Canis lupus familiaris: one gene and its partners. The protein of the gene in region 4 purifies or fractionates together with the protein of the main gene of each other region. This does not show direct contact. Links are inferred from orthologs where the notes say so. Each region holds a gene or a part of one and is shown on either strand. Other genes may lie near its edges. The genes, in order: RMDN3, WDR44, OSBPL10, VAPA, LSG1, ZFPL1 and OSBPL9.

The links.
Region 1: the proteins of VAPA (region 4) and RMDN3 purify together in Homo sapiens (co-immunoprecipitation; 4 studies listed by BioGRID and IntAct, counting the BioPlex papers as one, with this or other methods). This does not show direct contact. The link is inferred for Canis lupus familiaris from reciprocal best matches to the Homo sapiens genes VAPA and RMDN3.
Region 2: the proteins of VAPA (region 4) and WDR44 purify together in Homo sapiens (affinity purification with mass spectrometry; 3 studies listed by BioGRID and IntAct, counting the BioPlex papers as one, with this or other methods). This does not show direct contact. The link is inferred for Canis lupus familiaris from reciprocal best matches to the Homo sapiens genes VAPA and WDR44.
Region 3: the proteins of VAPA (region 4) and OSBPL10 purify together in Homo sapiens (co-immunoprecipitation; 4 studies listed by BioGRID and IntAct, counting the BioPlex papers as one, with this or other methods). This does not show direct contact. The link is inferred for Canis lupus familiaris from reciprocal best matches to the Homo sapiens genes VAPA and OSBPL10.
Region 5: the proteins of VAPA (region 4) and LSG1 purify together in Homo sapiens (co-immunoprecipitation; 4 studies listed by BioGRID and IntAct, counting the BioPlex papers as one, with this or other methods). This does not show direct contact. The link is inferred for Canis lupus familiaris from reciprocal best matches to the Homo sapiens genes VAPA and LSG1.
Region 6: the proteins of VAPA (region 4) and ZFPL1 purify together in Homo sapiens (co-immunoprecipitation; 3 studies listed by BioGRID and IntAct, counting the BioPlex papers as one, with this or other methods). This does not show direct contact. The link is inferred for Canis lupus familiaris from reciprocal best matches to the Homo sapiens genes VAPA and ZFPL1.
Region 7: the proteins of VAPA (region 4) and OSBPL9 purify together in Homo sapiens (co-immunoprecipitation; 5 studies listed by BioGRID and IntAct, counting the BioPlex papers as one, with this or other methods). This does not show direct contact. The link is inferred for Canis lupus familiaris from reciprocal best matches to the Homo sapiens genes VAPA and OSBPL9.

The regions. Positions count from the first base shown.
Region 1 is NC_049251.1:8,171,870-8,175,788, reverse strand, and holds part of RMDN3 (regulator of microtubule dynamics protein 3), read left to right. Parts: intron 1-3,023; coding exon 3,024-3,309; intron 3,310-3,919.
Region 2 is NC_049260.1:91,249,960-91,254,468, forward strand, and holds the start of WDR44 (WD repeat-containing protein 44), read left to right. Parts: upstream 1-1,345; 5' UTR 1,346-1,761; coding exon 1,762-1,838; intron 1,839-4,509. UniProt on the Homo sapiens protein: Downstream effector for Rab11 which regulates Rab11 intracellular membrane trafficking functions such as endocytic recycling, intracellular ciliogenesis and protein export.
Region 3 is NC_049244.1:13,246,065-13,249,983, reverse strand, and holds part of OSBPL10 (oxysterol-binding protein-related protein 10), read right to left. Parts: intron 533-3,919; coding exon 55-532; intron 1-54. UniProt on the Homo sapiens protein: Probable lipid transporter involved in lipid countertransport between the endoplasmic reticulum and the plasma membrane.
Region 4 is NC_049228.1:75,972,391-75,975,594, reverse strand, and holds part of VAPA (vesicle-associated membrane protein-associated protein A), read right to left. Parts: intron 735-3,204; coding exon 576-734; 3' UTR 1-575. UniProt on the Homo sapiens protein: Endoplasmic reticulum (ER)-anchored protein that mediates the formation of contact sites between the ER and endosomes via interaction with FFAT motif-containing proteins such as STARD3 or WDR44.
Region 5 is NC_049254.1:31,816,978-31,820,896, reverse strand, and holds part of LSG1 (large subunit GTPase 1 homolog), read right to left. Parts: intron 2,061-3,919; coding exon 1,650-2,060; intron 1-1,649. UniProt on the Homo sapiens protein: Functions as a GTPase. May act by mediating the release of NMD3 from the 60S ribosomal subunit after export into the cytoplasm during the 60S ribosomal subunit maturation.
Region 6 is NC_049239.1:52,617,635-52,622,116, forward strand, and holds the start of ZFPL1 (zinc finger protein-like 1), read right to left. Parts: upstream 3,081-4,482; 5' UTR 2,920-3,080; exon of another isoform or gene 2,904-2,919; intron 2,556-2,903; 5' UTR 2,548-2,555; coding exon 2,446-2,547; intron 2,165-2,445; coding exon 2,053-2,164; intron 953-2,052; coding exon 759-952; intron 651-758; coding exon 578-650; intron 507-577; coding exon 360-506; intron 111-359; coding exon 1-110. Other genes in the region: CDCA5 (sororin), read left to right, coding at 3,271-3,316, 3,528-3,622, 3,700-3,765, 3,845-3,880. UniProt on the Homo sapiens protein: Required for cis-Golgi integrity and efficient ER to Golgi transport. Involved in the maintenance of the integrity of the cis-Golgi, possibly via its interaction with GOLGA2/GM130.
Region 7 is NC_049236.1:9,562,176-9,566,094, reverse strand, and holds part of OSBPL9 (oxysterol-binding protein-related protein 9), read left to right. Parts: intron 1-3,405; coding exon 3,406-3,518; intron 3,519-3,646; coding exon 3,647-3,765; intron 3,766-3,919. UniProt on the Homo sapiens protein: Interacts with OSBPL11 to function as lipid transfer proteins.

The DNA of each region.
Region 1 (3,919 bases), on a different chromosome or scaffold from region 4:
CACAAACTATGGAATGGTTTTGAACATACGGGACCAAAGGAGGCGTGCTTCTTTGAGGGATGAAAGGCTGAAAATATTTAATAGCCTATGCCATTGAAAGCTGTATTCCCTTTTTCCTTTTCCAAATAAAATAGCAACTTTGAGCTCCCAGGGGACCAACTGTGGCAGAGGCAGAATCACTGTGTGATTCATGTGGGTCCATGAGCTTGTTCTTTTTTTTTTTTTTTTTAAAGGTTTTATTTATTTACTCATGAGAGACACACAGAGAGAGGCAGAGACATAGGTAGAGGGAGAAGCAGGCTCCATGTAGGGAGCCCGACGTGGGACTCGATCCTGGGTCTCCAGGACCCGGGCCAAAGGCAGATGCTCAACCGCTGAGCCACCGAGGTGCCTCCATGAGCTTGTTCTTAAACACAGGACCAAACATAGCTTTAGTTCTCTCCTAGTCCAAAACCACCTTATCCTAAAACACCAGCTTCTCCAGCAAGCCTTCTCAGCCAAGGATTGCCCGAAACCTCATTGCCACTCCTTCTTGGCCATTTATCACCTCATTTACATTGCTCTTATCTACCCCACCACTGGGAGTCTCTCAGCCCTGGTTGCCTTTGAATGCTTTAGCTCAGCCCCTCTAAAGGGGCTTAGGAAGAGTCAAAAGAAAGAAAGTTAATTATCAGAAGGGAATATGTGTATAACTGAGTCCTTGATCACTGACTTGTGGGCCCTCCTCAAGGGGTAGAGTAGGGTAGCTCTGGCCTCCGCGGGAGCCATGGGTTCTCTTCCGTTTGTGGGAACAATGTGTTCCAGCCAAGGGCACAGCTCCAAAGAGCCATCTCAAAGGTCCCTCCCAGGCCCTGGCAGATCTCAAAAGCCCCAGGGCATGTTAAAAGGACACCCCTGTCCCTGGTGGATTTCTCCCGGGGCTGGATTGGTGTTCTGAGATGTGTGAGAGCATGGTGTTACTATAGAGACAGCCTTCATACCTGCGGAAGCCCCGGAAGCTCATGGGGGCTGATGTCTGTGCTCATTGAGCAGGTGCTTGCCCACCCGCTGCGTGCCAGCCAGCAGGGTGGCAGATTAGCGAGGCAGCTCCCTGATGTGGGGCTGAGGTGTGATAAGAGCCTCCCTGCCTCACAGGCCCCACCAGCAAAGTCCCTCCTGACCACTCCTCCTGCTCAGCCATGCGAGCTCCCTGGCAGTGCTGGACATCCCTCCTGGCTCAGCTCACTAGAGAGACTGTGCTGATACTTATGCTCTAGGAGGGAGAAGAGCAGGGGTCCCTCGCTGGGAGACTCCTGATTTGAATGCCTTATTGGAGGGAGTTCAGCAGGCAATAGTGTCTCCCCTTCTTTCTAGTAATAGGAGATGTGAGACTCTAGCTCTTTATCCAGATAGCCCATTTACCCATCTTGCCTTTGGGCCTGCTGGGCTGAGTAGGAGGCTCTGGTAGACTCTGATTTGATTCTCTCATTTGGGCAGGTTATTGTCCAAGCCTTCAGAATTGGTTGGGAGTCTGTCTAGGCTGCCTCTGTGTGGTCTTGTTCGTCACCACCCAAGTTCATTGTAAATCTGATGCCACTTCTCTTTGTCCCTTTAATTTCAAAAGTTTTTACTGCAGATTGCTAGAGGGGAAAGAAGTTGGATAATATATTTAAAAGTAAGGTGAAGTTAAGGTCAAGTTCCTGTAGTAGCTGTTCCTGGGGCCCTTTTTTAGATGAGTGTGGAAGCTCCTCTGTGAAGCAGCAGCAGGGACTGGGCACTCGGTCTGGTTGCTCACTTGGTACCTTCCAGACGAAGCCTGCCTCCTTGTGTCTGGCTTTCTGGCCTACCACTTGCAGCCAGACTTGATGCTGTTTTGTCCTGCCTTTACTTGTAGGTGCCTCGCTCATTTCTCCTTCAGGCCTGTTTTATGCCAGGCATAGGTATCCTGTCCCTATTTTTCATTCTAGGATGGAGGAAGGCATATCCCTAAATGATCCTAAGGTCTTGCCTGTGCTTCAGAACCTTCTGGCTCTGACTGAATCTGCTTTTCTTTTACTCAAGTCTGGAGGTTTCTCTGGTATCTGCTTCCAGGCCCTAGAAGTCCGACATTGTCCTCTGCTCAGTTTTTGTCTGAGTCAGTTGGCAGTTGGGGAGAGCACCCTAATCAGCCACTGGTGAAAGCCAAGATCCAAGAGAAACGTGGCCTCCTCTTCAGGGAGTGCTGGGGGTTCCAAGAATAGACCTATCCTTGGATAGGTCCGGCTTGTGGCGGCCCCAGAGATACCTTCCCAGGTGGTTCTGTTTGCATCTTCCTCTCCTGAGTGTAGCTGCAAAGTGGCCTTTCCCCTCCCCCAGCAAGTTCCTAAGGTTTCCAGGTGCTTTTCTACTGTGGTTCAGGTTTGGTTGCTGACAGGACAGAGGTGTACCTTGAATTGGGAAAGAAAATGTAGATATTTGGGTTGCCCATGGCCTCAGAGGCTGGCACCCACCCATGTTGTTTCTGGTGGGTGCTTTTGGCTGATAAAGCAAATGTGACTGACAAACCCTTAGCCAGGCTCACATCTACCTCAGATCAGCTCCACCTACATTATGGTTTTTATCTTAAGTATTCCTTTTTTACTTATAAAAATGTATGTTCACTAAAGCAATCATATATGTTAAAAAGTAGAAAAATTTCCTTTAGTTCTTTTATCCTGAGTTCTACTAGCAACATTTTGATGCATTCCTTTCTAGGCTGCTGCTTTCTAGCCTTTTTCTTTTTCTGATTATCTAACCAACTTGGTGGTAGCTCAACAGGGGGTTCTCATATTGCCCCCAGCTGGTCACTCTTTCCATCTAGGATCATTTTCCCAGCCCATAGTTCCCATAGGAAGCTTTCTCTCAAGCACTAATTTCTGCCCCTAAGTGGTAGAAATGGTTTTTACATGGCGCTCTGGACAGCAAGCAGCATCATAAGAGCCCTTCTTTGTGGGTGGGAGATAGAGCCTAGAGTCCTGAGGCTAATACTCTCCCTTGACTCTGTCACTTACATTTCTCTGCCACAGTTACACAACAGCCAATGCTGAGTCTGACTATGAGCGGGACTCTGACAGGGAAAGTGATGACGGGGAAGATGAAGTGAGCTGTGAGACTGTGAAGATGGGGAGGAAGGATTCTCTGGACCTGGAAGTGGAGATGGCTTCGGGCCCGGTGGCCAGAGCCCCGGAGACTGGAGGCTTCCCTGGCCTGGACGATGTGCTGCCCCTCCTGCAGCAGGCTGACGAGCTTCACCAGGGCGGCGAGCAGGGCAAGCGGGAGGGCTTCCAGCTGCTGCTCAACAACAAGCTGGTGGTAAGGCTCCAGCTGCCTGTCTGCCCTTATAGCCTCCCAGCCCCCCTGCGAATGGAGGAAGGCCACTGTAGTTTCTAAGCCTGCAAGGTGACATAGGAAGGGAAATGAAGGTGAGGTGACTGGTTCTGCATGTATCCCTCAGGGTTGCACATCCTATTCCAAGTAGGCCATGCACTGCCTCTTGGGGCCTAGGTGTACCGCCTGCCCCAGAGCTTCCTCCCTATGGTCGTCTGCCTCCTATAGAGCTATTGCAAAAGAGCTCTCCTTCTTAGAGAGAAATGTAGAAAGAGCTGGAATATTCTTTTCCTCTTTTATTTCCCTTGAGGTAGAGCCCAAGCTGCCTGCCCTACTTGAAGTTTCCATCACAAGTGACAAATGTATAGGTCACTCAACCACAGTTCCCTCTTCTTCTGGTTAACTGCCAGAATTTGTGCTCACCAGCTATAAATGCCCCAGTTAGAATTTTTCCTTTTCTTGGGCATTTTCACATTTTTCACTATCAGCTAGACTTCTCATTGTGCCTCATTTCATCTTGGAGTTGACCTTTCCTCCTCACAGTATCAGGCCAGAATGCCCTCACTCTGAAGGTTATGCAATCTACTGGCTAGAG
Region 2 (4,509 bases), on a different chromosome or scaffold from region 4:
TCCAAAAAGTCCTGGAAACTGAAAATGTTTTGTATTTTTAGGAACTTATTTGACAGTCAAATTGATCTAACCTAAACTTATTTGGCAGTACTATCTAACCTGAACTGATGAGGCTATTTACTGGTATTCATTTACCCCGTATGAATAATCATACGGTTTGCTACAAAAAATATTACCATATTTGAACATGCAGTGTTTCCCCTGAATTCCCTGGGATGTTACAGAAGTTACAGTATATGGCATTTGGTTTTACTCAAGCACGCCAGACAACGCTAGATCTTTTCCCAGTTGCTTTACAAGGAGAAATTTAGAACCCCATTTTAGCCTCCAAGGCAAAGAGCCCAGAGCCAATTCAGTCTTTCCTGCTGCCATCTTGAGAAGTAGTTGAGGCTGAGCAAACAGTTCCGAGAGCCCGCCAGTCATGACGTCAACGGGAAACTAAAGCGTTTCAGCGACCACCTAGAAAGTCAATGTTATCACTTTTGTGGTCAATGATCCGTCAAGAAAGAACATCTTGGTCTTTCAAAAAGTACTTATCTATTTTTATCACTGGACATTGGACAATCTAGGGTCAGAATTAAGTTACTAGCTCTTAGCTCTGCCACAGTAGTATCTGTTCAATAAATATTTACCACTGACTGATCCACATCTTGGCCAGTCTGTAAGAATTTCTCTCACATTAAGTGTGGGCAGCAACAAATATTTGTTTAGAGAAAGAGTAACTGGAAGCCTTATGCTGGCTCCGCTCCAGCAATGAATCCATCATTACTTCATGGAACTGGCACACTCCCCACGATCTCATGGACCCCACCCTCTGGCCGGCAGGATCGTCTCTAGGGACCTCAATCAGAGATCCTGTAGTAAACAGCTCGAGTTATTCCCGTAACGCTAGCGGTGGTGGACCTGCCTATGCCCTAGGGTGGGATACTCTGGGCTTGGATAAATGAAGACGACGTAAATGCAAACCACAACGCCAAGGTTTCCCGACATCATTTCCTCACAAGGAAAAAAAGCAGACTCAAAACCACCCCTCTGAAGATGCGGGTCTTCCGAACTCCAGGGTTACAGGGTAAGACAATCCGCCACACCCCACCTACGTTGGGCGCACTCCCTAGGAGCCGAGGCACCACCCCGCTCCTGCGCAGGTTGTAGGCTCCTCCCTCCAGGAGGCTCTTCCCCACCCTCCTCGGCTACTTCCGTCCGTCACCGAACGCCCTCAACGCGCTTGCGCCGTTTTGATAGGCCTCTCGGGTAGCAGAAATCTGAGCGCCGCCGCTCTGGAACCGCCCCCGCCTCCTCTTCGCCCCGCCCACGCTCTAACCGGCCCCTCCCGAAATCTCGCGAGGTTAGGTGCGCGTCCGTATTTTGCGGGCATCTGGCTCTCCCAGCTGCTGTAATTGCTGCTGCGGGAGAAATTGGAGCCGCTGTCGTCGGCGCGCCCGCCCTCCCCCACAGAGAGCCACCGCCTCTTCGCTCACTCTCCCTGTACACCTATCGCCGGGAGCGGCGGCTGCAACAGTCCCTGGACCCACCGCCACCTCCTCAGGCTGCCGCTTGACTGGTCGTTCCCGCAGCGCGGCAGCTGACGGCGGCCCCCTGCTCCTCACCGGCTCCTCACTCTAGATCGTCTCCTCCGTCCCTATCCTCGCCCGGGACCCACCTCCTCACGGTCTCGCCGGGGAGGAGGACGACAAGGAGGAGACGAAAGTCACCCTCCCTCCAGGCGGCGCCGGCCCCCTCACCCGCGGGTGTGTCCTATAAATGGCGTCGGAAAGCGACACCGAGGAATTCTTTGATGCCCCTGAAGATGTGCACCTAGGGGGCGGCTACCCTGTAGGGTAAGTAACTGGAGCTATGGCCCAGAAGCCGGGCGCTCCGGTCCCCCGGTTTCCCCTGTGCCTTCCCCCCGGCACCCCTCCCAGGTCTCGCTGTGTCCGCCACCGCTGCTTCTCTGTTCTCACTCCCGCACTACAGAGGGATTCGGGGGAGGGGGAATGGCCCACCTTGGCAAAACCTCCTCCTTTCCCTGGGGAGCGGTCCCTGGGGCTAAGGAGCCCCTTTCTTGTCTTGCCCTGCTTTCTTCGAGGTGGGACACTTTACGTGTCCGAGAGCCGGCGATTTGTATTTGTGAGGTTCAGCGTTTTACCTTCGAAACATCCGTTTTGGCCTTGGGGACCACAGAGCAGTAACAGAAGAAATTGCACTTCCCGCTGGTTCTCTTCTTTTGCCGCTAACTTACCTATTCGTTTCGAAGGTAGCTTTAATTATCCACCGCCCTCTTCGTTGTATAGAAAGAAAAGGAGCGGCAGAGGGAAAGGTTGGATATTTACTTAGGAAAGTCCTCTAGCTGATGTACCTACATCAACAGTGTTTTACTAAAATAGCACCTCACCGTGAGGCAAAGGAAATCGAAGACACGGTCCTTACCATTAGGGAGAATGCCGTCTTAAAAGGATAGCCGGCCACAATTACAGTTGTACATAACCAACTACAGAAATACAAACAAGTGCTGAGTAATCTGTTCGTTGGAAGAGCCACAGCTTTGTCTTGTTTATCTAATTCTGCAAAATGTTTTAATGATGATTAGTTTGAGAGATTCTGAGTAAGAAAGTGCAGTAGTTGGAATGCTTTGCTTGTCTGGGACTGCTTGACTGGGACTTCTACTTACCGACTCCTCCACTTTTAAAAGTTGAAACAGGATTTAAAGCTATTTTGCCGAACTCCTCTACGGACTTGGGTGGAAATTGAGGCAGTGAAATATATTTTCATGCTGTAAGAACTCGAGAATTAGTGAAATTTGTATATTAATGTAAGTAGACACTTATACGGTTACAGGAATTTAGCTGCCTTCAATTCCCAAATTTTCCCCATGGAAGAAACACTGCTTGATGCAAATAAAGTTATTTGTACTTTCTAGAAGTCATTCTAAAGCTTAATATATTTTATATATAACATATAGCAAAAAAGTCACAGCAGCAAAATCAGAAAGAAATGTACGTTGTAGATGGCAGATGTGTTTCCACCAGCCTTCCTATCACTATTACGAGATTTTTGGGTGGCAAGGCCCAATCTTGAGTTGGCACTGAGTCTCCTTCAAGTTCAGTATCTGAAACAAGTTCATAGCTAGATGGTACAGGATTGAAAATACTTTTGGCGCCAAAATGTTTGGATTCCCTTGAAATTAAATTTTGTTTTTGTTGCTTTTCCCTTTGAACTGTCGATTTAGGTTGAATGATATACCTAATCGATTAATGCTTTTGAGTATGTGTGGAGTGGGGAAGGAAATAACTATGTATATGATTGTAATCATTTTAGAAATATGTGAATATTGTTCCTTCTCAGTGAACGAAACATTTAATTTTGAAGAACAGTTATATCAGGAGTTTATTTTGTCTAGTACTTGGCACAGAAAGAACCCAAATGTCCATTCCCTTGTCCTTTCTTGGAATTAACAAATTTAACTTCACACAGTGGTTACTTTGAGAGGAAGTATGCAGAACTTGGAGCTATTTAACTTATTTAAATCCAGTGAGTCATTTTGATAGAATTGATAGAATCACTTCTTGCCTCTTGGGATAATAGAGCTTCTCAAGTACTTTGATCCTTTGATAGTAGGTGAAAAGTAAAAACGTCTCTTGGGACCTAACCTTCTAATTTTAACTCTAACTTCTCCAAATATTAATGGTGTTGAACTCTATGGGTAAAGCTATAGTGTCAGTCTGTGAATTTCATGGCTCCCATCTGTATTAGTAGGGGGGATTTGGAAGAGAATTAGGTTCGTCCGGACAGTTGCATCTGAAAAGAACTAGTAGTACTGGGAGGACTGAAAATGGTTGTGGCATCATTGATATTTCCTCTGTTGTGACAGGTTTTGTCTTTCGTGTAAGATACCTTGAAGAGAAATGCAATGAGAAATCTTGATTTGTGGAAATAGATGGTATCACTAGATATCTGGTCACCAGAAATATCTTCTGTCCCTTGATTGAACTGCAGTGGCACACCATACAGACTCTTAAGAATTTAACAAGCTGAGTTTGCAAACTTTAAGAAATTTTCCTTGCTGACGGGTGTACCACAGTACATAGATCATTTCATCAAATTGTAGTGAACCGGACAGCCCCGGTGGCTCAGCGGTTTAGCGCCACCTTCATTCCGGGGTGTGATCCTGGAGACCCGGGATCGAGTCCCATGTCGGGCTCCCTGCATGGAGCCTCCTTCTCCCTCTGCCTGTGTCTCTGCTCCTCTCTCTCTCTGTGTGTCCCATGAATAAATAAAATAAAATCTTTAAAAAAGAAAAACAAATTGTAGTAAACTGATTCACAAGTGAAAGTTATCTCATGTTTTGTTAATCAGAATCCAAATACACAGTCCATTTCCTGAAATTGATTTATTTCTTCTGTTCCCTTCAGTGGTGTCTTCAGTTTTGTTCTACTCTTTATAGGTTAAAGATCAGCCCAGTTTCTTAATAGAAAGACTTCATTCCAGTACTGCCTACTTTTCCACGGTGGC
Region 3 (3,919 bases), on a different chromosome or scaffold from region 4:
TATAAACGTCACCGTGTCGGAGCCAAGCTCCCTGCAACATCCGGCATGGCTTACCTTCCCCTATCATGGAGACCCCCACGGACATGCCCATGAACTTGCTTTTGGTCCATACGTGAGTGTTGACGCACAGTCTCTTCTCCTTGCACTCACAGTAGAAGCAGGAGATGGGTGGGTGATGAGACACCTGCTCGGCCACAAACCTTAGTTTGTAGCTTGTGGAAGGGTCCTCGGCTACCGAGTGTTCGTGGCCAGCAGGAGAATGGGAAGCAGTCCTCTTTGGCTTGACCCTGTCTTTGGGGACCTCCCAGGAGCAGTGAAACGTCTCACCGATGATGGGGTTGTAGGGCTTCTTGGCCAGGGCCCCCTTGCGGCCCTCATGGAAGGCTGTGAGATAATACTCCACAAAGCAAATGACTCTCTCCTCGGGCGTGGCTCCCGCGGTAATGGCCAGCAGCAGGTCTGGGTGTGCCATAAAGTCCGCGTACATCTCCAGCAAGGATCGCTTCTCCAGGATAAATGTGGGAAGCACCACCTACATTCGGAAGGAGACAAAGTCAGACAGGAGACCCCGAGATTACGTGGAAAAGGCTGCAACCACCACCAAGCAAATCCATCGTGGCTTAAGCCAGAGAACGCTGTCTTTTGATTCATATACAAGCGACAGATTAGGGGAAATGACATCAAAGAAGACAAGGTTGGAGAAGTGGCTGCTGTGGTGGCATGATGCCACCCCACTTTCGTGGACTAGATGGTTCTGCGTGGCTTGCTTCTCTGCTCATCTGGACTAGAACAGCGGTCTCTACTTCCCCCTCCACTGCTGTCACCATCCCCAGACAAAACCCTCTTTTACTAACTCCTTATTACTTAGAGATGTGAAGAAAAGAGCACAAAAGGACTTCTTCCTTTTCTTCCTGACATCAGACAACCCAGGGGAGTGCTCGGTGTGTCCCCACAAACATGGGGCTTTTTGGTGCTGCATCAAAGGGGGTCCAGGTAGACCAGCACACACCACCACTAAGAGGGTTTATTTGGAGATCTCTGTTAGAAGAGTAGCATCCAAATCCCAACACGATCAAGGCAGAGCAGGAGTGAGGAAAGGACCCATGGCCCAGGTCTCTGGGAGGCAAGACCAATCAGCTAGCAAGCAAATGCCCAGAGAGCTGCCATGCAGAGGAAGGCCCATGTGTGGAGATTGCTCTGCAAGGCTGGGCCAGAAGAAATAAGCAGAAGTTACAAAGAAACAGGCTGACACTTAATACAGAATCTTCTGGCAAATGGACTGGTACAGGGGCTTCTCATGGGATTGTTACTGACATCACTATCAAAAAGAGGAGTAGAAATCTGGATGCTTCTGCCAGGGACGGGACCGAGACTCCTTGTTGATCCAGAGAGGATGCATGTGGTCATCGGGTGCCCCACAACCCCAATGAGGAAGTCAGTTAAAGCAAATGAAGGCCATTGTGACATTGGGCTGGAAAGCAGGTCCCTTATTACTATCGCTGATAGGCGGAGGAGAGCGAGCCTGTTCCTCACTGTTCTAGAGTGATCTTAAAATGACTTCATTACTGGGTATTAATACCAATCACTTGGCTGCAAGGCACAGCTCACTTTGACCTGGAGCATCTCAGCACAGGATCATGAAGCTGGAAGTCTAGCCATGGCCTGCTGGCTCCTCCCTAACACCCTCCAGGAGAAAGAGACAGAAAGAGAAGAGAGGGAGGCAGAGAGAGAAGAGCCACACAAGTTCAAGGCGATGCAGCTGGCTTACACTCCCTCCTTAAAGACTGAGTCTCCTTCCTTCACACAGTCCCCAACTCCCGAGAAAATACTCTCTGACTGCAAATGTCAAAAGGCTTACAGATCTGCAACCCTGCCTCCACCTCAGCTTGCTCAGACCCCTCCTAGCAAAGGGTGTAGATACAATGGCAGAGGGATGTCCTGAGAGAAAGAGACAGACAGGCAGACAGGAGATCAGCAAAGCACAGAGATTTCAGAGGAAGCTGGAAAAAGTCCAGCCCCCTGGAGAGGGGACTCTGCTATCTTTATTAACGCTTTTCTTGAGATTAAATACTACATTAGAGGAAAGAGTACGTACATTCATTAAGTAAAAAAGCAGCCAGGGGATCCCTGGGTGGCTCAGCGGTTTAGCACCGCCTTCGGCCCAGGGTGCGATCCTGGAGACCCAGGACCAAGTCCCACATTGGGCTCCCTGCGTGGGGCCTGCTTCTCCCTCTGCCTGTGTCTCTGCCTCCCTCCCTCTCTCTCTCTCTCTCATGAATAAATAAATAAAATCTTTAAAAAAGAAAGAAAGAAAGAAAGAAAGAAAGAAAGAAAGAAAGAAAGAAAGAAAGAAAGAAAGAAAGAAAGAAAGAAAGAAAAAGCAGCCAGATGTAAAGTCAAACATGTGACACAAATCTAGTATTACAAAAAGACCCCAAATGTTAACATGTATTTCTTGGTGTTAGAATTGAGTGATTTTTATATTTTTTTATAAGTCTCTTTCTGCTTTGCTTTTACAATATACTGGAAGAAAAGACACAACTATGCAAATCAATGGATATTTCTTCATTTTCCTTCAGCCAAAACTTGACAAAACTGAGACTCTGGCTGCCCCAAGGCTCTGAGCTGGCCAGGTAATGGACATTCTGGCTCAGAATGGCCTTCAGAGGCCACTGTGATTACTTCCTACATCTTTTGTGGGGACAGGTCACCATTCAATGGCCATTGCTGTGCTGTAGGGCGTCTGCTTTTCCAAGGGGGCTCTCGGGCCAGGGGCTCCCTCCACAGCAGGCGGCCACTGGCAGAGTAAAGGGGAGGCAAGCGCAGCCCCACACTCTCACCATGGCTCCCTCTCCTGCCCCCCGGCTGCCCAGGGTCACCCTGGGAGCTCTGCCCGACAGGCTGTGCGGGGACTAGGGGCTTAATCAGCCGTGGGACACCCCCCAATGAGGCCAAACAACTGAAAGAGAAAAGAAGCCACAAATGTCTGCATCTCCAGGCCTTCCCGAAACCTCCCCATTTCTTGTTCCTTCCCTCCCCCCGGCAGGGCCCGGTGATCATGAGAGAACCCGAGAGGGAAAGGGCGGAATTAGGGCGGGAGGCCAGCCCCAAACGCCCCTGCCGAGAGGGTCGCTAGGCGGCCTCAGCTGCGCCCTCTGCCCCTGGGGGCTGGGGCCTCTCTGGCAGCAAGTCCGGTGCTCCGGACAGGGGCATCCTCCAGCGTGTACCCGAGCCTGGCATCACAAGGAAAGACCCGGCCACCAGGGTCACCCTCTCCATATATACTTTTGAAAAGGGCAAGAACAGAAGGCGGTTCCCCCCAACTTAGCATTTCTGAACTCCGAAGCTGAAGAGTTAAAACAAGATAACCAGGGGACACAACGCCACTGACACTCCAAATGACTGACTGTCAGGACGGAGAGGGCCCCTCCGGGTGATGGAGTCCAACGCCCGGGTCTCCAGGTCGGGGGACAGAGACGGCAGATGGGGAGCGAAGGCACCACACAGGAAACTTGAGGCTCCCAACTGCCACCCCAAATTCTTCCCATTACCCCCCACACAACACAATTATCCTGCTTCTGGCTAACGGGAGCATTTTCTTTCCCTCAGTGGACAAGGCAGGTGAGAGTTCACTGGACAGAAGCCCTGGGACAGCTGGGCCACCTCACCTACTGCCATTGCTTAGTGGGGGGCAGGGGCCCGTGGGTGGCTCAGTCACTTAAGGGGCCAACTCTTGATTTTGGATCAGGTCATGATCTCAGGGTCCTGGGATCGAGCCCCCCCCATGGAGCTTCATGCTCACCAGGGAGCCTAATTGAGACTCTCCCTCTGCCTCTCCCATTGCTTGCATGTGCACGTGTTTTCTCTCTCTCAAGTAAATAAATCTTAAAAAAAAAAAAAAAGTAGGGGGTAAGAAGTG
Region 4 (3,204 bases):
TGGTACCATGGGACAGGATTGTAAGGATGAAAAACTCAGTCAACAACTGCCTCACAAGGGATAAGAAAAATTCTGCCATGATATTAGCAAAGGTAAAGGAGAAAATTTACACTGTAAGAGGCACCATTTCCCCACAGAATACCTCTTGGCATTTCCTGAATGAGTGGGATTATTAGCAATCTAAATAAATCATATTTCAAGAGGTAACAGCAACAGATAAAATTTAAAGGGATTATTAAAATAACATTTACAAGACTCTGAACAATTCTTGAACTCTTATTAAAACCACAAAGAAAGAACAATTCTTTATTTATGAATTTCATAAAGGACTGAATGTGCAACTGACATCTGCTAGTGATGATCTGGTAATATACAATTTGTCCAGGAGCCGAACAGTTTGTTTTATTGTGTTTTCTAACCGTAAGAGATCATTAAAGGCAAAGCCTATATGACGCTGTACACAAAAAAAAAAAAAAAAAAAAAGTCACCGTGGGCCATACTACCAATGAAATGGTAGGTAAACAAATCTTTTTCTGGTCAAGAGAAAAAAAAAATAGCACTCTGCATGCTTTACTCTACAAGATGAACTTCCCTAGAAAGAACCCGATGAAAATGGCTGCAATTACGACAAGAAGGGAAGGAAGAGGACTGGCGACATTATCTCTGAAGGATGCAGCTGAGGTTGATCCAGGTTTATCCGAATGTGCTACCTTTCTGAGCCTTAAGCCTTCATCCTGAAAAAAATATATGCACAAAGAGGTTTTAAAAACAAATACGCATACAGTAAAACTGCCAAGCTACAGATCTATAGCCAGAAAGCAGATTAGTGTGCATGTGGCTGAGATGGGATCAAGGATTAACTGCTAACCAGCATTAAGACAACCTTCTAGGGTGATGGAAACATCCTAACACTGGAGTCTTGTAATGGTGGCATAACTCTGTAAATTTGCTAAAAATAACTGAATCGTACACTCACAGTGGGCATCTTAATGGAATATAAATGATTCCTCAATAATGTCGATTTTAAAAACTAGAGCTGAAAATTTACTCCTAAAAAATTGAAAAGCAGGTATAACTATATTTATACAACAGGAAAAAAAACTCCACTAAAATATGTTAATAAAAGTGCATGCACTTTTTCCATGGTGGCCCGCAGTATTTTTATACTGGTTACCAAAGACCACCACGAACAAAGCTGTGGTCTAACAGGTTTGACACACTGCAGCCAGGGCACCCACACAGCAGAGGCACTGGGAGTAGCTGGCCAAAGGAAAAGACAGGCATTTTATAGGATTTGCAGGAAGGGGGAATTTCAGGATAAAATTTAAATAGCAAGTGTTTCGTTAAGCTCAAAGCAGAAGGTATATGTGTAGAAGGGTCAGCACTGAGTCTTGATCGCAAAGGAAACACCAAAATCCTGCTTCCTCGGAAACGACAAACTACAGCAGCTATGGAATGTTATATACAGAACTCACCTACCCCCCTACCCCCCCCTACTGGAGGCATGCCCCTAGACTGGAAAGGATGGCTGGGCTTCTGTGTGTCAAAGTGACTCAGATCCTCTAGATAAGAAGGGCTGCTTGGTTCTTACTGGTATGATTCCACACAGCAAAGTTTTGGACAGTATGATTTTAGGGAACAAGGTTTCTCAGTAAGAAAGCAGTAATCACTCAAAATAGGAAGTTGTTAAGACACTTTACCAGCCACTGTGTGACCCTGGGAAAAATACGGATACCTGTTACCTAGGCAACTGGCTTTATCTGTGTCCATCATCCCAACCAGATGAATGACAGGGCAGACTGCTACTTCCTTACTTAGTGCAAGCTCATTTTTATTTTCTCACTTTGATTCCTCTAACATGCTCCGTAACACCAAATGAAAAAGTCCACCTCAGGTCATACTGTTTTATTTGCAATTACTACATTCTCTGAGGGTTTGTAGGGTTTTTTAGTCTTTGTTCATTAGTCCTACATGAAGAGAACACAGATTCTCAATCCCTTCAAGAACTTTAAAAAACCGGGATCCCTGGGTGGCTCAGCGGTTTAACGCCTGCCTTTGACCCAGGGCGTGATCCTGGAGTCCCAGGATCGAGTCCCACATCAGGCTCCCTGCATGGAGCCTGCTTCTCCCTCTGCCTGTGTCTCTGCCTCTCTCTCTCTCTGTCTGTGTCTCTCATGAATAAATAAAATAAAAAATTTAAAAAAAAAAAAAAAAGAACTTTAAAAAACCCTCCTAGTGATTCTGATTTACTAGGTCTGGGGAGGACCTGGTATTTTTTAAAAGCTCACTAGGAGACTGAGATGCACAGCCTGGCTTAAGAACCACAGGACTAGAGGAATAAAAAGAACATATTATGATGGGCCTTATGTATGAAATGTTATTAAAGGGCCTGAAACGGATTCTATAAGCCAGTGATCTTCAAGGTTCTTTTATCTTTTAAACAGCAGAACACTTTTGCAAATAACATCTCCTACAAACAGCCAATGAAGGGGAGAGACCAGCATCCAAATCTCACCTTCCTCCCTGTGCACTCTTCCCACCCCTGCCCTACTTATGTCATTCCTACCATTTCCACTTCTACTCTCCTCTTTGCCAAGAGACAAACTGGCTTTTTGAACAAAAAAAGTACGGAGCATGCTAAGGAGCACACCTTTCATCAAAGAATAGAACTATGCCATGGAAGTCATGACAGATAAAGTAAGAGTAACAACAACATCCTTAAAAATCTATGATGTGTGGATAGGTGTGAAATGAAACTAGTTTTTCCACTATCCTAAGAGGCGCTGGGGGCCCCTGAGGAGTACTGTGAAACAGAAAGAGACAATTATTTCAGCACAGATCAATCCAAGATACTGTGCCTCTGATTCACAGTATATACAGTTCCTATATACATTAACAGATGAAAGAATCAAATGTAAATTAAGTCACTTAATTTAGCTTATTTACTTATGTACATTTTTATATCATCTACTTTGATACAAAAAGTTCCAAAACCTAAAATGGCAATTTAAAGGTATTCACATCTTGAAATAAGGTACTTGTCAAAGGCAAATTATTAATACACTCTGCATATATTCAAATTAGTTCTCATTCACCCGTTCATCCATTTATTCATTCGAATATATGAATGACTACTATATGCATGTGCTATGAATGCAAAGATGAATGAACACAGGTCCTTGCTCCCAAAGAGCTAGCGCCCAC
Region 5 (3,919 bases), on a different chromosome or scaffold from region 4:
TTTGTTGAAGCCTAATGTTATACTTTAAGGTGCAAGCTCTTACATAAAAATTTCAGATAACTGTTCATTAATCTCAGTATTTTCCTCATGCTTTGTGCTTATTTGTATTTTGATTAGATGACATATTACTATTTGTATAGATGCCTTTTGCTGGTGGGGTGCTTTTGTGGCTGTCATCTGCTCCACTTTCTGCAGTTCAGGCTCCCTCACTATACACTCCAAAGGCCGCTGGCTGTCCTCCTCTCTCACTCACCATACTTGGAACTACATGCTCTGGGAGGGTGGGGACTCTGTCTGTCTGGTCTCCTGATACATGGCTAGGGACCAGCAGGATGCCTGGCCTGTGGCAGGTGATCAATAAATGTTCACAGCAGGAGTAAATTAACCTAGTCTCAGGTTTTCTAGTGTAAAACATTCAGAAAATGAAGAGTCTGTTTAGCATCTCCATACATGTGAGAAAGAAAGAAACTACCTTTTAGGGAAGCTGGGCTTTCTGATGGCATGTAGAAAATGAATTTTTAGCAATAATACAAAGAAATGAAGCTGAAAGAAATGATGTAAGTTCCCCAAGGTTTATAGCAAGTGAATCCATTCACAGTAGCACTAGGTCTGCCTGGCTCCAGGGGCAATTCCTTTAACTAGTGCTCTATGTCTGTCTCTCTCAAATAAATAAATTTTAAAAATAAACAAACAAATAAATAAATATATATTTATTTATTTATAAATCTTAAAACAAAGATGTTGACCTGCTACAATCAGTGACTAGGCTTGGGCGGGAGGGGGGTATGCATGTAACTTAAGAGCTAGAAGATTTTAAATCTGCCACAATCTATTTCTCTCACAAGTTTGATCTCTTGGATGAGGCCTTTAACATACCTTCTCTAACATCTTATGTTTCCTTAGCTAAAGATGGGACCTCTGGAGCTGTGCTGTCTGTCTTTAAAGTCCAAGCACTTCTCACAGCCACCTCTAGAATTAGCATATACACAGCTAGGGATGTGATCTCCTTTCCCTTGTTCTTAGGCAACTAAAGCGGCAGCCATGCTTTGCCTGGCCCGAAAGATGCTGGGATTCTCCTTAAATTGCAGGTGGAACATTTACAGTACAAGCTAGCAAGGACCACTTCACACCAAAAGCCGATAGAGGGTAAGATTACTGAACTGCAAGTCTGAAGACAACCTTAGAAGTTTTCTCATTCTACTATCTCTTGGTAAGCCACACGTGTGGTAGGGCTGAACTGGAAGACGGGAGAAGATAATTAATAGGAATAGGGGCATAACCAGTGTAAGCCTTGAGAGAGCTCGTTCTTTAGAGTTGGGCTTTACCTATTCCCACAGTGCCAGTGGGCAACAAGAGGGCAATAACGTCTCCTAGGACACCAAAAGCTTGGTTCGGCCCTTGGGTTCCAGTGTAGCTACCAACAGATTGGAAATAAATGGTGGGGCGCCTGGGTGATGCAATCAGTTGGGTAGTCAACTCTTGGTTTCAGCTCAAGATTTCAGGGTCGTATGATTGAGCCCTGTGCACTGGGCTCTGCACTCAGTGCAGAGTCTCCTTGGGATCCTCTCTCACTAAAATAAAATATATCTTAAAGAGCAAACAAAAAAGGTACCCATGCAATAACAATCTCAGGACCTATCTCATCTTACCAGTCCAACCGTAAGTTGTCCATCTTTCATCTTCTTCCCAGTGTGTAGCTGCTTAAAGATTTCCAACAATTCCTGCCTTGATACCAGATGGCTAAAATTGTGTGTGTGCCTCTTCCGCAGGGTGTTCCTCCCCTGAGCCTCAGAATCCGCAGTGCAGCTTCCCTGCCAGTCCCGGCCATAGGCCTCTTCATTGGGGTTGCCGTCCTCTTCCGAACATGTCTGCCAAACCTCCTCCTCCTCCTCCTGACAGTCCTCATACTCACTGGCATCTTCATCACTAGTGGTAACATCACTAAGTGAGAGGGAAGCCCTGTCTGGGAGATGTCTAGGCTCACTGCATGGAACTGCAGCCTCTTCACAACCGGACTTCTCAGACTCGGCTGTGTTGGCTTCTCCAGCACTCCTGTTCACCTGTTTTCAATGAAATGAAAGAAACCAAAAAGCTCAGAAGGGACAACAATGGCACCTTTCACTCTAGTGAAAGTACTCAGGGTTGGTTATCTCAGATGAACAGAGGGGAAGCCAAGTAAGTTATAAAGGAAACCAGAAAAGGTGAAAATAGGGAGACAAGGCAGGCCTTTTGGTGAAAGGACACAATAAACTATTAACAGTAGTGCCCTCTGGAGATGGGAGGGGCAGTGGACCTTCGCTTTATATATTTCTATATCATTTGAACTTTGTACAATGTCTGTTACTTTTGTATCAGATGTATATAAAACATCTTTATGTTTTTTAAGATTTTATTTATTCATGAGAGACAGAGAGAGAGAGAGAGAGAGAGAGAGGGGCAGAGACACAGGCAGAGGGAGAAGCAGGCTCCATGCAAGGAGCCTGACACGGGACTCGATCCCGGGTCTCCAGGATCAGGCCCTGGGCTGAAGGCAGGCGCTAAACTGCTGGGCCACCCGGGCTGCCCTAGATACATCTTTAAAAAAAGGTAAGCGTTTAGAAAAGCCTGTGTCAAGCTGAATTCTTTGGCAGTACATTATTTTGCACCAGGCTGTAGAACAAAGCATTTCTCATTAACAATTAAACATTTAATATTCTCTTCTTTGCACAAAGCAAGAAGGGAAACGTTTATACTTTGAGTTTTTTACGTTTGCATTTTTAAAGACCATGGTTTGCATATTTAAGGAAACTGCTATTTCTTTATAATTGCCTTTAATAACTCAAAGCACTGTGGAGCATAGCACCTTCTGGATGAAATACATGAGCAACGAAACATGTGAAAATCATACACATATATACAAAGAACAAAAATAATTTACTCTTCAGGGATATGTTAATTCTTAAGAATTCTGACAATACAAGCAAAAATAAGACAATATATAGTATTACTAATTTGAATCAACAAGAGTGAGCTGGTTTGCATCTAGAAGTGATACAAACCTTGTATAATTTCTAAATTACCTAGTGTTAGAATGAATAACCATAATAGAAGAGGACACAATGAACTCAGTTAAATAAGTATCCTAAATTTTATTTTATTTTATTTTAATTTTTTTTTTTTTTTTTTTAGTATCCTAAATTTTAGTAAACTAAATCTAAACTAGAGATATAAACAAAATGTCAGGGAAGATAGGCATGATTTCATGATCAAGGCTAGGCTGGCAAATCAAAAGGCAACACGGCAGCATGGCTTATAACAGAGCCACAGAACTGGAAACAATTTCTATGAGAAATGAGCAATGAATGTAAAGAAGATGGCGTGTCTTCACTGTGAGCTTTTCTGAATCATTTCAAAAATATGAAACAAACAGAAAACAGTAATGTGAACTGAACGTGCATTAAAAAAACTAAAACTGAAGCAGTTTAGCTTCAGGAAAAATGATAAAGACAACAGAAGGACTTTGTGGTAGTATAGTAAACCTGAAAAGGGAAAAGTCAATCCCTTGGGGAAACACAGTGCAATTTAACAGATGGCCAAGAGAAAACCAGGTACTCAGCTTGAAAACTGTCATTTTTCCCCAAAAAAGAAGGGGTTAACAACTGTAAAGGAAGAACCAAACTTCAGATGGTTGAGAAAACAGTGACTATTAAACTATTCCTAGTAAGTTCATGTTTGATACTCAAATGACAAGTGTGATTACAGCAGTGATGTCACAATGGTAGCTAGTTATTGGTCTTGGGAAATCATGAAAAATGGTAGATACTTCAGAAGATGTGGAAGGAGTAAATGATGGCTAACTTCAAAAGGGAGAAAGTGTACTTTCCATAACTACACACTGCGAACCCAGTCATACACGGGAGCAGGTCTACAAGGTAGCTGG
Region 6 (4,482 bases), on a different chromosome or scaffold from region 4:
CAGCCACCCCAGGGCAGGCCGGCGACGGTACTTGTCTTCATCACAGTCCCCATGCAGGCCTGGTGAACGGTCATCGTCCCGCGTGTCATACACCTTCCTGGGGGCCGAGGCTGCAGGGGCAGAGCCACCAGTATCCACAGGCTCAGAGAAACTGGCCTGTAGCAGGGTGGGGAGTGGGGAGGGCAGGAGGTCCTTGCCCTCTTAACCTGACAAAACATCTCAGGATCATGGGGAAGGTAATGACTATGTTAGTGAAGAGGGAAGCCACCCGGTGGGCCTCTGGAACCCCAAGCCCCCTCCACATAAGTCACTCCACTCCCTTTCCATCCTCTTCCAGACTGGAAAACTCCTTGGCTCACCATGAGTCAAGGGCTCAGGATTGCCCATGTGGATCACTGTGTGCTGCTCGGGCCGGCTCGGGGAAGCAGGGGGCCGGGGGGCTTGGCTGTAGAAGGATGGGGCAGCAGAGGCGCTGGCTACCTCCTCCTGTTCAGGGCTACCATTGGCTGTGGCAAGAAGAGAGCTGTCAGCAGAGCAGGGAAGCAAGGCCCCAAGGGCAGTGCAGACCACTACCTACCATTAAAGCTAGACCAGTCAGAGAAGTCAGAGGTGTTGAGGGGCTCAGGTTCCGGGCTCACCACTTCATCGATCTGGAGGAAGGAACCTGTGTCACCAGCCTGCTCAATACTGTCCCTACCCACCCATCTGGCCCAAGTGGGACCCAGGGCAGACGGTCGGTCAGACACACAGATTCTCACCAGAGGAAGGCCCAGTCCTGCCCGGGCCCAGTTGACCATGGCCAGCTTCTCTCTCAGTGTGGAAGCAACAGGGCCAGCCAGGTTGGTTGGGGGGAAGATGGGGCCACTGCAGATGGGGCACTGGTAGCCAGCAGGAGCTGTGTTACGGGGTAGCTGGGCGGCACGTTCATTGAGGCAGGCCCAGTGGAAGAGATCTTAGGGCCAATGAAATAGGGGAGGAGAGGCATGAGGAAGAAGATATGTAGGATCTCTAGCCCGGCAACAACCCCCAGTCTGCTATGTGGATGTATGTATACGCGCACATGTGAGCTCATAGCCTTCTCCTTCCTGTCCTCACTCAGGTCCATTTTATCAGTGTTCCCTAAGATTTCAGCCTTCTTGGCCACCACTACCTGACTCAGTCAAGGGAGATGCTACCAAGATCCCCAGCCCACTAGAAGGGAGAAGCCTACTTCTCCCTGGGGTAGTAGGGATGGGAAGAAATGCCAGTGACCCTTAAAGTGAGTCCTCTCTGAACATGCACTTATCACAAGCTCCTCAAGCTAACAGCTAATCAGGAGCAGTTTCATAAGTTCCTAGACACACACAAGTACACGTATGCATGTACACACCCACACCCATGGGCACAAATGTATACATACAATAAAACACAAGTACCATCCCTGTATCTACACTTGTAGGCACACTAACTCCCACACAGAAGCTTTTATACAATCACATTTGCTAAAATTCAAGCACCATAACCCAAGCGTTGTCCTATAACCCCACAACACACCTGTGTTCATACTTCACACGTTTACCCATTCACTCATGTGCAGGTACTAAGGAACACATTAACACACATAAAGTTAAAAAAAAGCTGAGCCTAAGCCTCTTACATCAGTCAGGTCAAGGTCATGATACATATGACTAACTTCTTTTAGCTAGTTACTGTGGGAAACTCCCTTCCTCTCTGTTTAGTTGGAATGAATAATAGATCCCAGATGTCTGAAAGCCTCATGCCTTCAGCTCCCTGCTGGTCCAGCCAGCTACTGCTCACAGCCCAAATGTTACAAGTTTGATTGGCTCTCACTCAACCCTGTAAATGGGCAGGTAAGAAAGTAGGAGCTTTAATTTTTAGGGAAAAACACTGAGGCCTAGAAAGGGAAAATGACTTGCCTCAGCTCACACATCAGGTAAATAACACAGCAGGACTAGAATTTGGGGTTCCAGCCTCCCAAGCCTGGGGAGGTCTCCATTGCCCTGCTGCTTAGAGAGGACGTGGAAACTGGTCACCAAGCTGGGCAGGCCTCACCGTAACAGACGAGGCGGGTGGTCTCCCGGTTGGCCAGGGGTGTGCTGCACAGGCGGCAATTCGGGTTGTAGTCGCTATCTTGAAGCCACTGCAGATAGGACTGGACGATGCACTGGAGTGGGAGACAGAGGTCACAGCGGGGGCCCAGCTGCTTCTTTTTCTCTCATCACAAACAAGAATCATACTTTCGTTTGTTCAATCAATAAACATTTATTGAGCACGCAGTGTGCCAGAGTCTGTCTTAAGTGCTGGGGATAGAGCCGAGAACAAAAGAAACCAAGTTCCCGCCCTCCTGGAGCTTCCATTCCAACCCCAGGGCCTTCTCGGAGTTGGAGAAAACCGACACTGCCGGCCCACCCACTGCCCTGCTTCGCCCCTCCCCTGAAGCCCCACCTTGGCGTGATTGGCTACCAGGCAGTGCTCGCAGACGTTGACCCGGTGTTCGAAGCAAAAGAGATTGGTCACCTTCCTCTTGGGGCACTTGCAAAGTCCCATATTCGACCCTGAGCAAGGGGTCGGAGTTGAGAGAGCCAGCTTCCGGTGTCCGCCACTACGAACTCACAAGCCCAGATCGTCTCCACTCCTAAATCCCCTAAACACCTCTCATGATCGCCCCAACCCCTAATTCCTGCCCACCGCCCTTCTACATTCCGGGCCACGCCTCCTGAACGAATTCCGCCTCCAGTGACCCCTCATTTCTCCTGGATCCCGCCCCCGGCCAGGTCCCTCCACCAGCGAGTCTCCGGTACCACCGGCCCCGCCCCCAGGGGCTCCACCTGAGCCCCACCCCCTCCAAGCCCCGCCCCCTGCTTCAACACAGACCCCCCCCCTCGCCCCCCCATCCGTGTTACCGATCGACCGCCTCACCGGTCCCGACGCGCGCGAGCGCTGGTCCGAGGCGCGGAAGGACAGACACTGCGCTCAGCCGTGCTCCCGCTCTGCGCGCTCTACCTCGGGCCGCTCCGATTATCCCTCCGCTGCCACGTCTCTTCCGGGTGCGGCGCCCACTGATGACGTAAGTGGACCGCTGACCCCGCCCCTGCTGACGCTGCGCGCGAGACGGATGGTAAACGGAGCACGGCGTCCCTCCCGCCTTGCGTCATTTCCGCTTCCTCCAGGCAGGGCGGGTAATTCGAACGTTTCGGTCTCTGTGATCCCTCTGGGTTGGCGCGAGCCCCGGCGGCGGAGGCGGCGGCGGAGGTCGAGACCAAGGCTAGCATGTCCGAAAGGCGAACACGGTCCGGAGGGGCCACACGGCACTCCGGTGAGCCGAAGGCGCGCGGGAGCCTGGGGCCGAGCCGTTTGAGGGATGGAGTCCCACGAGGAGGCCCCCCCCCCCCCCCCGCGCTCTAAGAGGCTCATTCCGCCGTTAAGGAGCTTGTTTGGGGAACCTTCTCTCGCTCTCTCCTGAATCTCTTCTCTAGACTCTGAGGCCTAGAGTCTTACCTTTACCTCCTAACTTCTTTCTCTGCCAGGGTCCAGGACTTCATCTCCTACTCAGTCTCTGCGGAGGTCCCAGCGGAAATCAGGCCCTGATCTCCCGAGCACCCTCCCTGAAATCTGGCCCAAGGTGAGCCCTGCTTTCTCAGCTTCTGTCCCGGGGGCCGCTGGACTAATGTGGAGCTCATATTCACTGTTCTTTTCCAGGCTCCCAATGCGGCTCCAGTCAGAAAGCCCATCGTGTTGAAGAAGATCGTAGCCCATTCTGTAGAGGTGAGGACTGAGAGAGGGGTTGTGGGTTGGGAGCCAAAATTGCGTTTGAGTCTTTGATCAGTTATTATTGTCTCCACAGATCCCATCTATCCACACGCCTCGAAGGAGCCCAAGGGTGAGTTCATTTTCTTTCGTCGGCTCAGTGGAGTGGAATCCAGGGCACTCTCGAGATGGGGCAGGATATACTGGCTGCTCACATCTGCCCAGGGAGCTGTTTTGAGGTACAAATCTTCCTGCACTTAGGACAGGGTTACTTTCTGATAAAACGGTCATGAATTGAACACGTAGTATGTCAAAAATGCAATTAATGCGCCGAATCTATCAAACGTCGTACTTTAGGTTATCATGCCTTAAACGTGTTCGGCACAGTTGTATGAGCGTATAGTTAAATTATCTGATTCAAAGCCTATCCATAATAAAAAATTGAATACCACTTAATTTTATCAAATACTGAACTGAAAACGAACGACAGAATGGTTGTAAATTTGTCAGTTGTTTCCCCACGTGATGGCATGGCTGACTGGGAGCTGCAGCTTGCTGCCACTACCAGCATCATGAGAGAGGATCTTAACACATTTCACTAGCCTGGGAAAAGATCAAAATTCGAAGTGCGATTTCTATGGAGTGCATATCAATTTTGCACCGTCATAACACAGAAAAATCAAAAAAAAAAAACACAGAAAAATCTTAAGTCAGACCCTCATTAAGTTGGGAAGC
Region 7 (3,919 bases), on a different chromosome or scaffold from region 4:
AAGCATATAACTGTATACAGGAGAGCTTGTAGTATCTGGTTAGCTGCTGCTTCTTTTTTTTTTTTTTCTTCTTTCTTTCTTTCTTTTCTTTCTTTTTCTTTTCTTTCTTTCTTTCTTTTCATTCTTTTCTTTTTCTTTCTTTCTTTTCTTTCTTTCTTTCTTTCTTTCTTTCTTTCTTTCTTTCTTTCTTTCTTTCTTTCTTTCTTCTTTCTTTCTTCTTTCTTTCTTTCTTTCTTTCCCTATTTATTTATTCATGAGAGACACACAGAGAGAGAGGCAGAGAGAGAAGCAGGCTCCATGCAGGAAGCCCAATGTGGGACTCGATCCCAGAACTCCAGGACCATGCCCTGGGCCGAAGGCAGGCGCTAAACCCCTGAGCCACCCAGGGATCCCTAGTTAGCTTCTTTTTAACATCAGAGTCTGGCCCCAGTTTCAAGGGGTTCTCCTGAAATTTTTATAAAATAGAAAATTTTATTATTGTACCTGTAACGGGCATGTCTACAAAGTCACCTATAGGCTCATAGGCTTTTTTCTTTTCTCCTTCTATTATAAGCTTCCTTCTCTGGGCTTTCCTGGTACCCATCCCATGACAAATACACAGTTGATGAACCTCCCATTTGAAAGGATCCAGGGTTAAATTCTATGTCCTGCTAACCCATTGGATTCCTTTTTTCCCCTCAGTTTTATGTTCTCCTTGTATGCCCTAATCTGGATTCCCAAACTGGTAGGGACTGCAGATGGTTTATTTGGCCATCAAGGTGTTTGTTGATTTGGGGGCAGGGTGTTGTTTTTTTAAATGGGCTTAAGTCCATTCAAATGGAGTGTGTTGGCCCTGGGGCTGTATTCCTTACTACCTAGCCCAGTTCACGTATTTATGTTCTCTGCCTGACCTTGCTGGGCATTGAGCCTGTGACACCTGCTGGTCATCGGCTGCTACTACTTATTTTCGGACTCACAGCTCAAGTTTCTGTCTACTGTTTTTCTGTCTCTGTAGAAAGAGAACTGGAAAACTTAAGTCTTTCACTATGCACTTTCCGAAGACCTGTAGCAATGGCAGCTTCAGTGTGAACTGTTAGTGAGCAGTGTGGCTGTACACGGTTATAAACTAGATGAAAGTCCGTGTTGGAAAGAACTTGTGCTTTGGAGCCAGACATGGATTTGAAATTGCTCCAGTACTTACCAGCCGTGTGAACTGAGGCCAGTCACTGAGTCTCTGAGCTGAGCATCCATGTGTGAAGAGAATAATACTGTGTAGGGTTTTTAGGGAGCTTAGATTGTTATGGAGATGAAAACACAGTGTTTGGCTCTTACCAAGGGGCTCAGTAAGACTTTGGATTCTGTTACTGTAATTCAGCTCAGCACTTCACATTTTTTGGTTTAGTTTATTTATGATATGATTACATACTATACAGGTTAGCCTGTTGCAGATAAAGCTTTCCTGTAAGCGTATTATTCTTATCAATGTTGCTCTTATTTTTTAATTAAATTCTTTAAATTTTTTGGTCCCGATTGCAATAAATTATGGAGAAATGAGGATCCCATTTTTTTTTTCATTTTGAGAGATTTTGAGCATTTCATTTGGCCCAGACATGGTTTCTTACCTGAGTAAAAAAGAAAAGCACAGCATAGATCTAACCTTTAGAATTGTATATAAAATAAGATACATATTTGAAAGGATTTGGGGTTTTTGATCTATTGATTTAAAATATTGATTCTAGGGGATCCCTGGGTGGCTCAGCGGTTTAGCATCTGCCTACAGCCAGGGGCATGATCCTGGAGACCTGGGATCAGGTTCCACATCGGGCTCCCTGCGTGGAGCCTGCTTCTCCCTCTGCCTGTGTCTCTGCCTCTTTCTGTCTCAAATAAATAAATAAATAAATAAATAAATAAATAAATAAATAAATAAATAAATAAATAAATAAATAAATAAATAAATCTATCTTAAAAAAATAAAATATTGATTCTATTTTGATGATGTATCAAAGAGCCACAAAACATTTTGAAAATAACTTTCATGCAGCTCTTTTATTTAATGATTTATTTAATTTGATTTCTCTTACCTAGGTCTTTTACTCATATTTTCCATTGGCTCTCAAAGCTGTGAGGTAGACATTAGTTTCAGTACCTTGTGATGTATACTACTAAATTATCAAAGAAGCAGTAGTTACCTAAGGATTTTTGAAAAATAGATCAAAGAAAGTAAGTAACTAGGACAAACTACGTTTAAATTAGAATACACATTGTTCTAATACTGTAATATTAGAATGTTCTAACGTAGGCAGAGCACAGAGGATTGTTTGGGTAGTGCAGCTATACAATACTATAATGATGTATACTTCTCTACATTTATCAAAATTCATAGACTGTTGTACCACCAAGAGTGAACCCTAATGTGAACTGTGGACATCAAGTCAGAGAATGATGTACCAGTGTAGGTTCATTAGTTATTACAAGTGAGCACACTCTGGGGTGGGATGTTGATAATATGGGAGGGAAGTTGGGCATGTTTGCGGAAAGGAGCACATAGGAATTCTGTAGTTTCTACTCAGTTTTGCTGTGAAAAACTGCTCTAAAAATGAAGTTTATTAAATAAATCAAAAGAAGGTAAGTAATTAGGGCAAACTGTGTTTAAATTAGAATATATAATATGCTTTGCATCCATAAATCTGTAACAAAAAACTGGTCATGTGTATACTATTTTATATATAATATCTGCAGTATGAAAAATTTGGTTTCTTTTTATATTTAATAAGTAAATTATATGACTTTGATTATTTTATTAATATACAACTAATTCTGGATAAGTTACAGTTATAAGTATAATAATAGAGGAAACTTTGTTTAGACCCTATTAATATTTTAACCAGCTCATAATTTCAGTTACCATAAATTTGCTTGTAAAAAATACCGTGCTTTTGTATTTTGTTATTTCAAATACAGTTTTTAAGTGACTGGAAATACTGTTAAATACCAGTGTGGGCTTTTATCAAAGGATCTCAAAAATACAGAGAAAACATCTTCTGAGACTAAGTATGACAGACTTGGCAATTTTTGAGGTTCTAGAAATTGTTGCAGAGAATTATATTTTTCTGTAAAGTAACGTGACAAGAAAATGAACTCTAGCTTTAAACTTAGATGCAGAAGCAAAAATCTTACTAATATTTGATGACCTTTTAGCATGATTTGGTTGAGCACACACTATGCAAAAAAAGTCTCGTAAAGCACGAGACAGGAAACCTAGTTCTCACACTTTACAGTTTCCAATCTCAGAAGAAGGGTTCGGAACTGTGTATGTGTGACCAGCTCACTGTCATTGATCGGCCTGTATTGGTTTCAGATAGCCTTGTAGGTTAATGCCTTACTCTGACTCTCAGTTGCTTAAGAAGGTGATTACTGGTTTTTCAGTTCATCCGGATCTGCCTCAGTCTTGACACACAGCAGCTCAGGAAATAGTCTGAAGCGCCCAGATACCACAGAGTCGCTTAATTCCTCCATGTCCAATGGAACAAGTGAAGCTGGTAAGTGACATTGGAGAATTTGACTCTTTTTCCTAAAAATATTTGTTTGAAAAAAAGATTTGTGACACTGGTAGCATCACAGGTTGGTCTGACTTAACACCAGTCTAAGCAGATCTGTTTTATTTTAGACCTTTTTGACTCACATGATGATAGAGATGATGAAGGGGAGGCAGGATCAGTAGAAGAGCACAAAAGTGTTATCATGCATCTCTTGTCACAGGTTAGGCTTGGAATGGATCTGACTAAGGTAAGAAACAAATTTGGCATTTGCTGTTAAGTCTTACTGTGTATGTGCGGGTTCTCGGTGATTGTGTAGTGAATGTGGCTTGAAAATGTAGCGTAATGACATAACTTCCGTTTATACATTTGTGGTTTAATATATATGTAGATGAGTAAACTGA